Saccharomyces cerevisiae S288C: one gene and its partners. Changing the gene in region 2 together with the main gene of any one other region gives a genetic interaction. Each region holds a gene or a part of one and is shown on either strand. Other genes may lie near its edges. The genes, in order: PFF1, MAK11, YMR187C and CPR2.

The links.
Region 1: mutations in MAK11 (region 2) and PFF1 together harm fitness less than expected from each alone (positive genetic interaction), as found in Saccharomyces cerevisiae (one large-scale study listed by BioGRID).
Region 3: mutations in MAK11 (region 2) and YMR187C together harm fitness more than expected from each alone (negative genetic interaction), as found in Saccharomyces cerevisiae (one large-scale study listed by BioGRID).
Region 4: mutations in MAK11 (region 2) and CPR2 together harm fitness less than expected from each alone (positive genetic interaction), as found in Saccharomyces cerevisiae (one large-scale study listed by BioGRID).

Annotation. Positions count from the first base shown.
Region 1 is NC_001134.8:384,610-389,792, reverse strand, and holds PFF1 (Pff1p), read right to left. Parts: upstream 3,508-5,183; coding exon 577-3,507; downstream 1-576. Other genes in the region: DNA-dependent ATPase RDH54, read right to left, coding at 3,805-5,183. UniProt on the Saccharomyces cerevisiae protein: May be involved in vacuolar sorting and osmoregulation.
Region 2 is NC_001143.9:396,844-400,682, forward strand, and holds MAK11 (Mak11p), read right to left. Parts: upstream 1,908-3,839; coding exon 501-1,907; downstream 1-500. Other genes in the region: anaphase promoting complex subunit CDC16, read right to left, coding at 1-405; SPT23 (Spt23p), read right to left, coding at 1,989-3,839.
Region 3 is NC_001145.3:634,122-637,889, forward strand, and holds YMR187C (uncharacterized protein), read right to left. Parts: upstream 1,864-3,768; coding exon 568-1,863; downstream 1-567. Other genes in the region: Hsp90 family chaperone HSC82, read left to right, coding at 1-351; mitochondrial 37S ribosomal protein uS17m MRPS17, read right to left, coding at 2,170-2,883; GCV2 (glycine decarboxylase subunit P), read left to right, coding at 3,379-3,768.
Region 4 is NC_001140.6:217,704-220,639, forward strand, and holds CPR2 (peptidylprolyl isomerase CPR2), read right to left. Parts: upstream 1,141-2,936; coding exon 523-1,140; downstream 1-522. Other genes in the region: RSC30 (Rsc30p), read right to left, coding at 1-131; mediator complex subunit MED6, read right to left, coding at 1,294-2,181; mitochondrial 37S ribosomal protein mS41 FYV4, read left to right, coding at 2,405-2,797. UniProt on the Saccharomyces cerevisiae protein: PPIases accelerate the folding of proteins. It catalyzes the cis-trans isomerization of proline imidic peptide bonds in oligopeptides.

The DNA of each region.
Region 1 (5,183 bases), on a different chromosome or scaffold from region 2:
TGCTTTTGGACAAAGCGATATATTAAAATAACTTAAATATCCGCTTAACCAAGCTCTTGATCCAAACGATATCCGGCTATAGTCAATCACAATCCCTGAAGAACCATTTCCAAGACCATTATCTTTATACTTAATAAATATATAGATTTACAGGTTATTTGTATATCGCTAGCATTATTGCGTGCTATTTTCTAATAGTTACTGGAGGGTTATATAATTTAGGACTTTATAAAAACGAGCATTGTATGCACTTGCAGCAGTGTAGAACTTATCTGACGAAACATGTTTCTTACTTTGTTAACTGATATCATTAGTGATTTTCAATACCGTCTGAATATCCACTATAGCTGTCTTTAGCGCTACGAAGAGAGCACCGTAGAATGGTTCCAGACGGATTCTTGGCCAGTAAAGTACATTCATAAGTTAAACTCAATAGTTTTTCCTTTTGTTACGAAAAATTTCTCAAAATATTTTTTATTATTTTGTTCTTCTTGTGGGAAGAAGCGAAGCCTTTGGACAACTCCCCCAGTAGGCGAATTTGAGTTTATAAAAATTTACATTTAAAACTAATTAGAATTATAAAATTATAGCATCCTTGACAATAACTAATCCTTTCTGTTCGTTGGTAAAGGAAAAACTTAGAGGTGCGTAATTTATCAATTCATCAAATGCTGGAATTTTCCTAACAGCGGTACCATTTACAACCGATTCCGAATCATATTCTCCCCAATAACAGCTAATAGAAACAGACAGTTCGTCTTTTGTCCCCAACTTGTCATCCTCTACATTTCCATCCGTCAAAAGTTTTGGAAACCACTGGACTCCGATATGGTAAGTTTCCTGATCGAAATCAAGTTTATGCAATTGCAGTTCGTTTATGCCAGAAGCAGACTTGATCGTCTTCGTGATATTAGCTTTCTGTGGGGCCGAATTTTTCTTTTGATATACCGTGATTTCTCTGACAGGTGACTTCGCCTGATGTCTACTTTCAAAAGTTAAAGTGCAAGCCCTGTTCTCCTTCACCTCCAAAAGTAACTCTGCAACTATTGGTTCGTAAGGAGATCTCTCTGTTGAGTTTCGGTTATTATGTAAAACATGAACCTTGACCATACTGCTGATGTTCGTATTTCCATTCGTGCTCAATAAATTAGGTTGCATTCCATCATACATACAAAGTTCCATTCCATTGGTTACGGAAGTACAGTTAATATGTGTAGAGCTATATTTTATACTTGGTAAATCTTGCAGCATAGGTTTTAAAAAATTTCCTTCTCTTCCAAGGACATGTACACTGGCAGCGTTCCCTTGAGACAAATCAATATTTTGAGAAAACCTTACTTTTAATGGGTTACTATTGGTAAAGGGGTGCACTAGGAGCGTTTTGGATGCGGAAATCAAGAAAAGCAGTGCAGTTAAAGAAATTGTGATATAGTTGACCTTATAGAAAAAAGGTAAAATTGGTAGCGCGATCAAAATACTGCCCACCATTCCGAACCTGAGTACATCAAATGTAGCCTTACTTCCTTCCTGGACAGTATGGTTTAGTGCGTCCATGATAACATCCACACTGTTAAACAAAATAAATGATGGTATTGGTACAATTAGCAAAAATTGAATGATCCAGGCATAATCGGTATACTCAAGTTTTAGAGAATTTTCTCTAGTACTCAATCCTTCCTCCATGCTATTAGACCCCTTCAGTAATGGTACCCTTTCATCATGTTGTTGTGACGATGAATCCATACCATGATCCTCGTCAACATTATGTGATGGGCCAGCTGAAGTAGTTGACACATTATCATCTTGGATACTTGCTTGATCGTCTTGTGACGATGTAAGTTGATCTTGGGGTTGTTCCAAGTTTTCCTGACCGTCTCGTTCCATATCTATTTGAGAATGGGAGCTGTAATTGGAGTGATGGTCCCTACATTCTCTACCAAGCCTCTTCCTTGTTCTCATTCCCAACGCTAGTGCAAGTAGTCTCAATATAGCAGCTATTGTGCTCAGAAGAAAGAAAATCGAGAGAGGATAAAGCCCGGTATACCTATAGTCGGAACTATACAATAACTTCGACGTAAAAAGTAAAATGGTCCATAAAATAATGAACAATTCGATAATTGATAGGCTTTTCATATCGGCACAGGGGAAAAAAAAATTGGAGCAATTAATCAGAACATAACTGGTAAAAATTACTTGAGTGAAAAAAGCCGAGATAGGCCAAAAGTAGTTCCTTGAGAACGTCAAAGGATTGGAACGAATTATGTCGTTAGAGAAAAGCTTTTGGACAATAATACCAGCGGCTAATGAAAGAGGAAAGCGTGTCCACGATAGCCATGAATAAGATTTCCAAGTCATTCTATCACGAGAAATTAAATACAAGCCAATGGCCACAACGGGTGAAACTAATAGAAATATGCAGTTCCAATAGAAAAGCGTTTTAGCGCTTATAACGAAAAACTTCAAACCGATAAAATCAAAATAACAAGCCGGCGTTTGGTCAGCTGTATCCAATGAATTAGAAGCCACATATGCACTTAATTGTAAGGAAGTATGTAGCATATGCCATAAAGATGCCTTGGAGGTATATTGTATTGAATCCTTTATGGTATGATAAAGGTTTCTCGGTTTGTAGAATGCGACATCCCAGCCTCTCATGCCATTTTCTTCGTAAATCTTGTAGTCTGTCTCACTCCTGACATATCTGCTATAAAAACCTTGCTGGTAGATAGAGTTACCAAATGGATTTTCCTTAACAGACTGTTGGTATATTCTTGCTGTTGAAGTATCTGAAGTTCGGAACAGTACAGCTTTACCACCAGCACCAGTTCCCTCTAAATTTATCACATACTTGGTTAAATTAGACCATGAGTGATCAAAATAAGTTGATGCACCTAGTAGGCCAAACTCTTCATTATTATTAAAGTTGAAAATTAAAGTCCTGTTCGGTCTGTGCTTTATATGGTACTTGAGGTTCGCTAGTAAAGACACTACACCCATGCCGTCATCGGTAGCTCCATATCCTGTGGGTACAGAGTCGAAATGAGCTGAAAGAAGTAACCCTTCTTCCTCAGGATTTTTACCCTCAAGCTTAACTAATATATTAGAAGATTCAAAATATGTCACTCTCGAAAACCTAGATGACTCATTGAAAGGATCTTGTTGCTGAAATAATATGGATCTCTCGCTTTCTTTGTCATCTGAAACACTTGCAAACGAAGAATTCCCTGTAATTTCAAGAACCCTTTTGAGCAAGTAATCATGTACTTTATCATTTTCTTTGGACGTGTACGGATGAAAAGAGGCCGTGATAATCTGTAAGTCCCCCCATGCTGTTTCTAATAAGTCATTGAATTCAGGGTGCTCATCCTCTTTTGGTAGATTGAGTTTATAACGTTCATGATCAAAGATATAGAGTAACGTAATAATCGAATAGGTGATTAATAGAAGCAAACTCAAATTTGTTTTCCGGTACTTTAGAACTGATCTGAATACACTTTTTAATTTCATGCCGTGATTCTTTAACTTTACCTATCAATTTATTTCCTTGTAGATAATTTTTCACATTATTTTTTTTTTTTTTTTTTTGGGACTAAAGGCTATTCAAATCTTTCAGATGTTTGATTTGCGCCCGCAGCGTATCGTTATCAAATTAGTGAAAACGTGGATATCAACTTGAATCAGCAATAGGCCCTACTTAATATGTGACTTGAACCTGAATGAGTCGTGCAAGAATAAACCTATTAAATACAATCAGTGATTAAATAATAGCTATTTTATTTAGTATATAAGTGTCCATATTTGGCGTCATTGTTCTCTGAGACATATCTCGCCGGGCTTTACAAACGCAAAGGTAATACTATCTTTCAATTCGGTGAACGAATCTGTGATAACCTCATCAAATAATTCATCTTGTCTTGCTGGATCGATATGCTTATAATGAACGAGACATTGCCTAATGTATTGTGACTTTTTGGCATCATCGTTGGTGGCTGCTTCATTCATTTTCTTTTGTAAATCCAGCGCACTTGTCCATGTCGTAGTGCTACGCTTTCTCAGCTCTACGGTGTTCTGCTGTTGATTTGTTTCAGGATATTCAATTTCCTCACCTAAACCATCGCAAGAACAAATTAAGTCATGTGTGTTACTCTTGGTATCTGTATGGACAGAAAACAGGTCCTTCAAGTCCTCTTTATTGAAAAGATCATCATTAGAAGATTCTTTATTTCTCATCTCCGAGTCACCTAGAAATTTTTGGCTCAAACTGTTCTTCATTAATTGCCTTTGCAATATTTTCTCATCGATACACCCAGTTGTGACAAGTCTATATATGAAGCACGGCTTTTTTTGACCATCTCTATGAATTCGTGACATCGCTTGCAAATCTACTGAAGGATTCCAATCATTATCAAATAAAATAAGTCGCGAAGCACCGACTAGATTCAATCCTACACCTCCCGATTTTGCACTCAACAAGAATCCAAATATGGCTGGATTCCGATTGAAAGATGTGACGATAGAGTCCCTTTGTTTAGCAGGTATGGAACCGTCGAGTCTGCAATGTGACATCCCAGCCATATTCATCAAATTTTCAATTATATCCAATGTTTGAGTGTAGTTAGACACTACGACGACCTTCTCCTTGGTACCCTTCCTAATACCTTCTAGTAATGTCATTAATACCTTTAACTTACCAGAGTTCAAAGAACGACTATAGCTGTCCTGAGATTGGGTATCCTTTATATGTGATTTGTAATAGGGATCTGAGCCAACCAATCCAGGAGAGTTACAAACCTTTTTCAGTAATGTTATTAGTCCTAGCGAAGAACTGAACGTCAATTGTCCAAAATCTAAACGTGCGCCCTGCAAAATATCTTTGAATGCCAATATCTGTTGGCTGTATGGTTTACAGAATAAAATTATATCCGTCTTTGGAGGAAGGTACTTTTCTAAAATCGCATTTGTTCGTCTCAAAATAAATCTTTTCGTAATTTCTATCATCTCTTTTGACCTTTCTTCCCCCTTTTCCAACAATTCTTCGTTGTATCTGTTTGCAGTGTCTCTGGCTCTAGTTATAGGGATAATGAATCTTCTTTTGAAAGAAGCGAAGCTTCCAAGGATTCCTGGGTTTATGAAATCTATAATAGTGAAAAACTCATTAAGATCATTTTGTATAGGAGTTCCCG
Region 2 (3,839 bases):
CACAACATTGCCCGTAATGGAATTGGAATTAGAATTAGAATTAGCAGATGGCTGGTGCGGAGTCATAATATTCGCTTGCAACTTCTGTATTAAAGGGCTATTTGCTAACGACTGGTAGGGACTCGTAGCCGTATTGGTTCTGTTCCAGGGTTGCTGCAAACGATCATTCTGAGCATCGGTTGGTAAACTCTGTTGTGTTCTTGCTGCAGATACGTTAGAAACAAATGGCGAGGCGGCCAATGTAGAATTATGTTGTGAATGTTGCTCCGAAGGCGACATGGGGTTTCTCATAAGTACCCTGTTTGACGATTTCAAGTTTGATGTGGCTTTTGATGACTTGTAATAATGTGTAGCCTTTCCACAAATAACGATATAACAATGACAGCAATAAAGACAAAACTTCATATCATCTTTAACGATTAAGATAAATTATTTTATATTATACATATAAACTAACTTTAGTACGCAACAATTCTGAGCTGCACGCATGTATAAGGCGTTTATTCAAGTTCTACTGATACTTTACTCTTCTTCAATTGCTTCCGCTTCTTTTTATTGAGTTTCTTCTTCTCACCAAACATTATCTTCTTTAATTCTTCGGTATCACTTTCCACCTCACTTTGGTCACCTATATCAGCTGTTTCAGCATCCCTCTTCTTCATTGTGTTGTATTTCTCAATGCTTTCATCGCATAGCGTTAAGCAATTTAGCCTTTCGCCACAGTCGTAGACTGCTACTTGTTCTTTTGTAGACATATCCCATACGACAATTTTACCATCAGAACCAATGGTGACTAGGTAGGTACCAAATTCATTCGTATAAAACTTGAAATCTTTAATACGGTTTGTGTGACCCAATAAAGAAAAAGCGGGGCTGATATCCTCCTTGTCGTCATCATCTTCCTGCTTTTCATTTTCTTCAACTTTTTCGAATAACTCCTCACAAGGATAGAAATGAACATTACCATCGCTGATACCAACAGAAAGGTATTCCTTATTATCGAATGGTAAAATATGTGTTTCAATATGCATAAGAGTTTTCCTTTGAAAGACTATTTCTTTAAAAACTTTAGCCGATCCAGTTTCATAAATAAGCACCCTATCCCTTAAACCCACGGCAAAATAATCACCTTTGGCGCCTAACCATCTAACACAAGTCCCGTTTGTATTATATTTTCTTAGTTTTAGTACAGCAGCATTTCTTAGAGTCATCAAATTCCAAAGACGTATAGAATGGTCATCACTAACACTGATGGCAATTCTATTGGTGGGGTGAATATCCACATCATTAACCCTTGCCGTGTGTCCCTTTAAAGTCCCCACTGTTTCCCAGTCCTTTACTCTCCAAACCATAATTTTGTGGTCTTCTGATGCTGATAATAACCATTTGCTATTCTTGCTCCCCTTTGAAACAGCAGCATCCTCACTGGAAGAAGCTGGATGTGAGAATTGTAGAGCAGTAATAGAGCCCTGATGACTTAACAAAGTACCCAGTTCCTTCCTCTTTTGCAAATCATAAATTCTGATGTGCTCGTCATTGGATCCAGAAACTAGGTATCTTCTTGAAACAGCCAAACATTTAATACTCAACGAATGGGCTTGAAAATGAAATATTGGCATAAAATGTGGTGTCTTTGCTGCATCATTTTCCTTTTGATTTGGGATATCTAAGGATAAACACAAAATGTTGTGCTCGTATGAGCCCACAATGATACGAAATTGGTTCTTGTCGCCTATAGCACTCATTTTTCTACACGAATTCTTGACTTGGCCCTTAGGATCTTTTCGAGATGAGGTACCATGAGTTTTCAATTTTTCATGTTCTAAAAAATTTTCGGCCTTGATCTTGAACTTTATAATTCTAAGCAAAAAAAAAATGAAGACAGTATAAGTAGTATTCAGTAACATAAAGAAGATAAAATTCAAAAATGCAAAATAATAAAAAATGAATCTATATAGTGTAAGGATTATGTAGCTAGAAAAATGTCTTTAATTGACTCGCATGTCGTTTAGAATGTTATTGTTTTGAAACTTCGATAACTGCATTTTAAAAGAGGTTTTCATCCTTTCGTTGCCTAGTAGTACCTTGGCTAAACCAATTCTTAAATATTCCTGAACAATTTTGGATAAATTATGAAACATATCATCATCTTTCCCCAAATTCGATAATGTGAAACATAATAAGAGTACTAAAGTTAAGGGGATCCAAAAGAATAGGAGCATCTTATCATTCTGAAAGTTTTGCTTCTTGGAAAAGATTGTGTTGAACCCGACCTGTAAAGCTTCTAATTCATCGTCTTCAGAAGAAGTTTGAGAATCATCCACGGTCATTTGGGCAGAATTATCTGGCCCAATCTCCACAGATTTGCTACCAAGTTCCCAGTTTTTGGGTTTTTTTGGGAACAAGTCTTCATACTTTGGGAGCTCGTCATTTAAACGAGTTAGCATTCTGTTCCATAAAGATCCGTCAGGCTCTATGCTAGTCTTAGTAGTTTTTGGTATTTCATTTGGCTTTGAAGAGAAGTCCTTGATTTTGTGGGTGTTAAAGAACTCCAAAGCAATCTCATCTGAAGATGATTCACAATCACTTATGTCATAACCTGAATCCGAATCTAGGATTGAGAATGACGTATTGTCATTACAGTTGGATTGTTCGGGGGCAAGGGCAGCGGAATCCGCCAATAAATATTTTCTTTCTTGGACATAGTCATGATCAGCATCGTCATCATCAAATAAACTTGAGTTGAAACTTGACTGGGATACATTTCTCTCAAACGGTTGAGTATCACTGGATCCTGTTGTATTCTTCGTTAATCTAGTCAGAATGTCGTCAAACAGACTGGTTTCATAATTAGAATATCTGGTCTTGTTGACAGTATAATTCATCAGGAAGAACTGTTTAGCGATAAAGCCGTTTCTGGTTTTCTTCATAATATTAACGTTGCATTCTAACAATAGTCTTATAATTCTCAAGTCACCATTAATACACGCCATATGTAGCGGAGTAAAACCAAATAAATCTTGGTCGTTCAAATGCGACCCATATTTGATTAGTAATGAGACAAGACTATACCAGTTATTGAATGCTGCCAGATGTAATAGAGTTCTACCCCTAACGTCACACATGGAAAGATTGACGGTAGAGAGATTATTATTTCTCTTAAATGACTTAATAACTTCAGTGATCAATTGTTCATCGTTTATATTTCGCATCATATTCGTGTACGAATTTAAAGAGCTATTCTGTGAGTGTAATCCTGCGTTATTATTAGATGGAGATGAATCACTGCCAACAATCCTTTTAGCAATATTTCTTGCATCTTCCAGTTTACCGTTCATTTTCAGCCCCACAATTTGCAGAGCCAATTCAATTAGTTGCCTATCAGTATCATCAACATAAGTAAAGATTGCTTTCTCACCGGTATACTTGTTTAAGTGCAGAATGTCATTGGTACTATTGCTGGTGGAAACACTACTATTGCTATTATTTCTCATAGACGTTTCACTTGGGTCGACTATGGTTACCAAAACCGGTCCAGGTTTAGATGAAGGCGGTAAATAAGTCACCATCGTAGATTCATTCCAGCATTGGCTGGACAATGCTATATTTTCGCCAAACTTGATGATTAAGCCCTGCTTAAACTTTGAGCCAAGTAGAGTCACTTCTATACCTCCGTTGATGGAACCTTGTGCGGGGATGACACGCTGAATAGAAGGCTTGTTATTTAGCGCCACGGGGACACTATTATGGTTCGATATATCTTTGGAAGAATCGATGAATTTCTGGGGAAGACGGGAAAACGTATTAGGCGTAGACATAAAAGGCTCGTTTACCGAACG
Region 3 (3,768 bases), on a different chromosome or scaffold from region 2:
AAGGCTCAAGCCTTGAGAGACTCTTCCATGTCCTCCTACATGTCTTCCAAGAAGACTTTCGAAATTTCTCCAAAATCTCCAATTATTAAGGAATTGAAAAAGAGAGTTGATGAGGGTGGTGCACAAGATAAGACCGTCAAAGATTTGACTAACTTATTATTCGAGACCGCTTTGTTGACTTCTGGTTTCAGTTTGGAAGAACCAACTTCTTTTGCATCAAGAATAAATAGATTGATTTCTTTAGGTTTGAACATTGATGAGGATGAAGAAACAGAAACCGCTCCAGAAGCTTCTACCGAAGCTCCAGTTGAAGAGGTTCCAGCTGACACCGAGATGGAAGAAGTTGATTAATCTCTTTTTTCGCCTTCATGTTTTATATATTATATAAATTTGTTTACTTATTTTTACTATTTGTAATAATGATTCTGCTTTACGCGCCTTTAAAAAAGTTGGTCTTAATGTAAACATGAACCATAGCACACAATTTAAGACATCAGCTGTCAAATGACCATAAAATTGTCCTACCAGCTGTCCTTAAAGTTTAGTGTACACTTACGAATGACTTATTTACTCACCTTTGCAACTTTGTTCAATAAATTCATTGATCTTTTCAAGTTCCTGACATCTTTTGTAACTGGCATAGAGCTTCAGACTTGACCAGCCTATAGCAGCAGTACCACAACCTATAATATTGAAAATCATTCTAAATTCCGAAGGGGAGCAATTCGGCGTCCATTCAATTTTAAACTTTCTCTGTATCCATAGAAAAGCATTCAATAGAAGACCTCCTGTACATTTACCAACAAAGGGCCATAGTATCTTTTCTGCAAGAATAGCATACCAATTCCGCCTGATAAAAAATTCCTCAGCTGGAACGCTATTACTAGAGTTTTCAAAATTTCCGTGATACAAATACTTACCTCCTTTATTGATCAGCCTCCTGTAAATTAAGTCAACCAATCTTTTAAAGGTAAAATTATAGCAAAATGTAGCCAAGTTAGAATACAAAATTATTTTAGGTAAACCTATACCCTTGTAATATTTGTTTCCAGCAGTTTTTACAATACTGAGATACACCCACTTAAAGAGTATTGCATTAGCACTGACGTTAGAAATGTTGCTAAGATAATGTATGAACCCATATATTATGATCGAGGAGGTTAAAGGAATGCTTAATAAGCCACGTTCAGTTTGCGCATATACGTCCAATGCCTTTGTAGTGCTGATGTTTAACATATTTCGTAGAACATTCTCAGGGAAAAGGCAGCGTAGTTGCCATAATCCAATGTCAAAACTTGTCTTTTCAGGGTTTAAAAGAAATAAACTAGTTATCCCTAATGGTATCACGTATCGTGTAATTTTTTGCCACTGATAAAACAGGGATAGTACAGAAGACTGGATGGTTACTGTAGGTCTTTTTATGAAATTTGTTTTCTTGCATTGAGGACATTCGCCAAATTTCACTAACACATAAGGTGGATGATTATCCCGTTTGGTATAAAGAGACATTAGATTGAACACGTAGTCATTTTGAAACGGTACTGATTTTTGCCCCCAAATGGGACGAGTTTCCCATATTTCTGTAAGAGAGAAAGTCGTCATAAAATCATGGTGCCCATCAACGAGACATTTTAAACAGGTGATTATAGGTAAATCAGCATCCTTTGGTAGGTCCACTGTGTTCGGAAGAAAAAGTTCAACATGCATTTGATAGAGCCATCTTATATAGCAGCGTTTATGAATTTGTAAGTTGCAACCGCACGTGTGCTGTAGCCATGTAGAGTCATATGTGGATTCTTCCAAACATATCCAGCATATGCATCTTTTTTTTATGAGAGATAAAAAAAAATGAGGTGGGGTCATATAAAACTTGGACTATTTCCTTGGAATTTTCTTGTTTGTAAAATCAGAGCAGAGCTCTTTTATTTACTTTTGTTTTTGACGATGGGGACGAGCGATGTACTCACATCTTCGATATCACTTGCCTGAAAATATATAAATGCGTTAAACGATAGAAAATCAAAAACATCGTTCTTTTCACTAGAATATTTTAAAGTCAAAACATAACACTTTACTATTTACGTAACGAAGTCTTGTAGTTGTATATATTTACAGAGTGTAGTGCTTTAGTTGAGAAAATATGACACTCGGCTTTCCTCTTTCTTTTATTTACTGGCTTGGTTGTTGCATATCCATCATGACGTGCTTTCTTAACAAATTTTTTTTGATGTTTTTTTTCAAGGTCAAAGGATCCTCAACACCATGATCCTTCAAAAATTGATCACATTTTAGATCATTCGACAACAATTCGGATAATCGCGTTTGAATACGATCAATGAGACTTCTTTGTTTCTCCAAATTAACCTCCAATCCAGAGATGTCTAACTGTAAAAGTTGCCTCACTGTTTCTTGTGAAAAATCTTGAATGCCGTACCTTTGTTTAATCTCCAATAACTCTTTCGGCGTTGACCCGCTAGATAAAGCATCTTGGATGGTCCTAATATCACGTAAAAGGGTTGTTTTTTCATTTAGTTTATTCTCCCTCACTGATCTTTTATCCAAAAATTCTTTTGCCTTTTGGGCTTCTTCTTTTGCAACGCTTAACTGAGCTTCTGATTCGTATAATGCAAATTGTTGACCCTTGTTTCTAATAATTTCTGCAATGGCAAAAAACTTCCTCTTTGAAAGCGGCCTCGTCGCTTCTATCCTTACTAAATCACCCTCCCTTGATATTTCACCTTCATCATGCACTAAATAATCTCTTCTATGAAATAACTCCTTGTTGATTTTCTTATTAAAGACTTTTGTTTCTACACGTACTTTAACCGTCTTTTGCATCTTCCCTTGGGAGACGACCAAGCCTAAAAAATTTTGGCGAGCCATTACAGTTTAACTGATCTTGATTTGACTTTTGAAATCTCTAACCCGAATTCAACTCCCTGAGTTTACTTCTGTTTGGCCTTATTTGTGGATTTCCTCTAACAGTTTGATGCTCGCATTGGTTTGGCACAATCCCAAATTGCTTCAGAATTCTAATCTTATGAAATAACAATCATGTTACCCGGTTGAATCGTTACCCGACATCTCTGACTCTTCTTGAGGTATAGACTCCTCCTTTTCGGAGTCATGACTCTCAGAGGAGTCATCGAAGTCAGCATTGAGCTGTGAAGGACCTTGATAAGCTAGTCGAAAGATCTCCAACGAATATAAATGGATGTATATATAGCAGGCTCGAGTGGCACAATTTTCTTCTCTTCAAGTTCCAGTGAATTAGTCTTTCTCGTGTGTACCAATCTTACTGTATTGATTGCTGCGCGATCTAACCATCAACTAACCACAGTTTATTGGAAAAACGTTTCCTAATACCAGGAAGATAACATGCTTAGGACAAGAGTGACTGCTCTCCTTTGTAGGGCTACTGTCAGGTCAAGCACCAATTATGTTTCATTAGCGAGGACTAGATCATTCCATTCTCAATCTATTTTGCTCAAAACAGCCGCTACAGACATAACGTCTACACAGTACAGCAGGATTTTCAATCCTGACTTGAAAAACATTGATAGACCGCTAGATACTTTTGCTAGACGTCATTTAGGTCCTTCTCCTAGCGACGTTAAGAAAATGTTAAAAACAATGGGTTATAGCGATTTAAACGCATTTATAGAAGAGCTCGTTCCTCCCAATATTTTGAAGAGAAGACCCTTGAAACTAGAAGCTCCTAGTAAGGGATTCTGTGAACAAGAAATGCTTCAACATCTAGAAAAGATT
Region 4 (2,936 bases), on a different chromosome or scaffold from region 2:
AAACAGTCCGGCTTGTTATACTTGACGCAATTCCCACATATCGGTTTTGCCCTGTCGCACCCGATCTTTCTCTTCCTGCATTGGGTGCAAGCAGGCGGCTTCCTCACTTTTCTCACTTGCATGTCCATCATGATTAAAAACAAACGGCAAAGCTACGCACTAGTCACAGCAGACAACGACAATGCTCCTCTCATAAATTGCTAAGATACATTAAAAACAACAACTCTCTTCTTGTTCTTCCTCTCTTTGCATCATTCCTGCAAAATATCACACTACACGAGCTAGGATGTATAACCATCCTTAGTAGGACGCCAAGGTTATATTCAAAATGATATGATTTCCCCAATTAATACTTGCTGTTGCATTTTGAATCGGATGTAACTGGGACTAATGCTGCGCTAACCAGACGTACGTTCCGGTGGTCACAGTGCGGAACTGTTCCCACGTTCTCTAGTTAATTTACCTTTAACTATACATACTGAAATTGATATCTATGTATATAGTATGAAATATTGCATATACTCAAGAAGAGAGCTCAGGCGTCCACTCACCGCATTTTGCGATCTTGACCGCCTCGAGAGGTTTGTCATTCGCATCTCTGGACACGTGCTGTATGTAGTTCACCACATCCATGCCGTCCACAACCTGTCCAAATACCACATGCTTTCCATCGAGCCACGACGCTTCTTCCGTAGTGGTGATGAAGAACTGAGATCCATTGGTATCTTTACCACGATTAGCCATCGATAGTCTGCCCTTGCGATCATGCTTCAAAGTAAAGTTTTCGTCAGGGAAAGTATCTCCATAGATGGATTTGCCACCAACGCCAGTGCCGTCTGTGAAGTCCCCTCCCTGTACCATGAAGTTGGGAATCACCCTATGGAAAGTGGACCCGATGAACCCCTTTTTGGAATTAGTGGTGGTGCTTAACTTGTAGAAGTTCTTCGCCGTCTTAGGACATACCTTTCCGTACAACCCAATAACGATTCTGCCAACTTTCTCTTCACCATGTTCAATATCGAAAAACACCTTTTGTGTAATTACTTCGTCGTCCTGATCAATCAACTCACCCACATCAGATGCAATAACATTAACGCTAAGGAATAATAACAACCAACACCACAAGCCACTGAATTTCATTTTGTTTTCCCTTCGTGTCTTTTTCCTCTCATTTCTTTCCTTTTGGGGGAACTTCTTATGATGGGTACATCGATTTTTGAAGAAAACTGAAAAGTTGATTTCGCGGGGTTTTATAATATAGTACAAAGATATATGCAATTGCCATGGCAGTTCTCATATGTAGTTTGGGGTGGATCGAATGCTTGTGACCATTAATTTGTCCAACATCTCTGTAGTTATACCCATGTTACCGTTGCCAGTACGACCGGTACCGTTGTCTATAGTTTGTCCTCCTGTACCCATAGTGTTGACTGTCATGTTGACATTTGTGGTTGAGGGAACAGTCGCCATATTGGCACCGCCGGTAGGTCGTACACTGCTCTTGTTACTGCCCCCTCCAGCGTTGTTCCCGTTGGTGGCAGCCGTTGCAGTCGTGCTAGTGTCCGTAGGTACTTTATAGTGTACTCCTTGGGAAGGTTGAAACTCAATCAAGTCATACAAGCTCTCCAATGTGCTATTTAGATGGTAGCTCGTGGACATCAGCCTACTTTGCACAATTTTAAAAATTGTTGGCGATTGGTAAATGTTTGCACCAATTATGTAGTAGTCTTGCAATGGAATAATCTCTGGTCCCTTAGCGCTTCCCACACCAGAATTGTTTGTTCGTCTTTGCTTCCTGATAACCCAGAAGTCAGGCTCTCTTACGCTGCTCAATACGTATTCAGTACCATCTAACTTCATTAATTCCTCCTCCAGTTGCATATACATAGGATACTTGAAAAGGATTTGTCTTCTTGCCGGATCCACATAGGCAAACTCCTCTTCCAAGTTTCCATTCTTCCCATCTGGTAAGGTCATTATGTTTTGTGTCATATTCACGGCAGCATTAGGATCATTTAACTGGGAAAACTGCCTTTGCATTTTAATTACCTGATTATTCGACGTCTTATCGAAAAATGGTGATTCTGCAAAGTAATCAAGAACATTCTCAGTTCTCAAACCAAAAACTTGAATCCATTCTGGAGATTTCCATTGCAATTCATCCAACGGTGTCACGTTCATTTTGCGAAATCCTGCTTTGTTTCACTACTTGCAACTTTATATTCAGAGGTCTTCTCATCGTTCCACATTTTTCCACTCATTATTTATAATACGCTCATTATGTTAACCAAAAAAAATAATGCAGCCAGGCTTGAAATAATTCTGCCATCTTCAAACAAGAGCTATAAAACCAAAGAAAACTTGACCAAACAATAACAAACCTTCATTCAACACACGTTTTACTATGATACCTTCCCGGATTAGCCACAAATTTCCTCTATTCTTAAGGAGTTCGCTGGCCGCTCCTAAAGCTGCCTATCGTTTCAGTTCGACCATCCCCAAACCAAGCGATCAGGTACCTGACGTAGATGCATTTCTAAACAAGATCGGTCGAAATTGCAACGAATTGAAGGATACTTTCGAAAATAACTGGAACAACCTTTTCCAATGGGATTCTAAGATATTGAAGGAAAAAGGCGTGAATATTCAACAAAGGAAATATATACTGAAACAAGTTCATAACTATCGTAACAATAGGCCAATTCATGAAATTAAACTGGGCAAGAAGTCATTTTTTGGTGGTGAGAGGAAGAGAAAGGCATTTACTGCTAAATGGAAAGCTGAAAACAAGCAATAGACGCTTTCGCAAGATCTCAATATATACATGTATACGTATATGTTCACATTATACTCCATATTCTTGTAAATATATAATAAACTCAGAAATTGTTGTCCTTCATTCATGTTGATATTTATATGAAACGCTGACTGGGCCT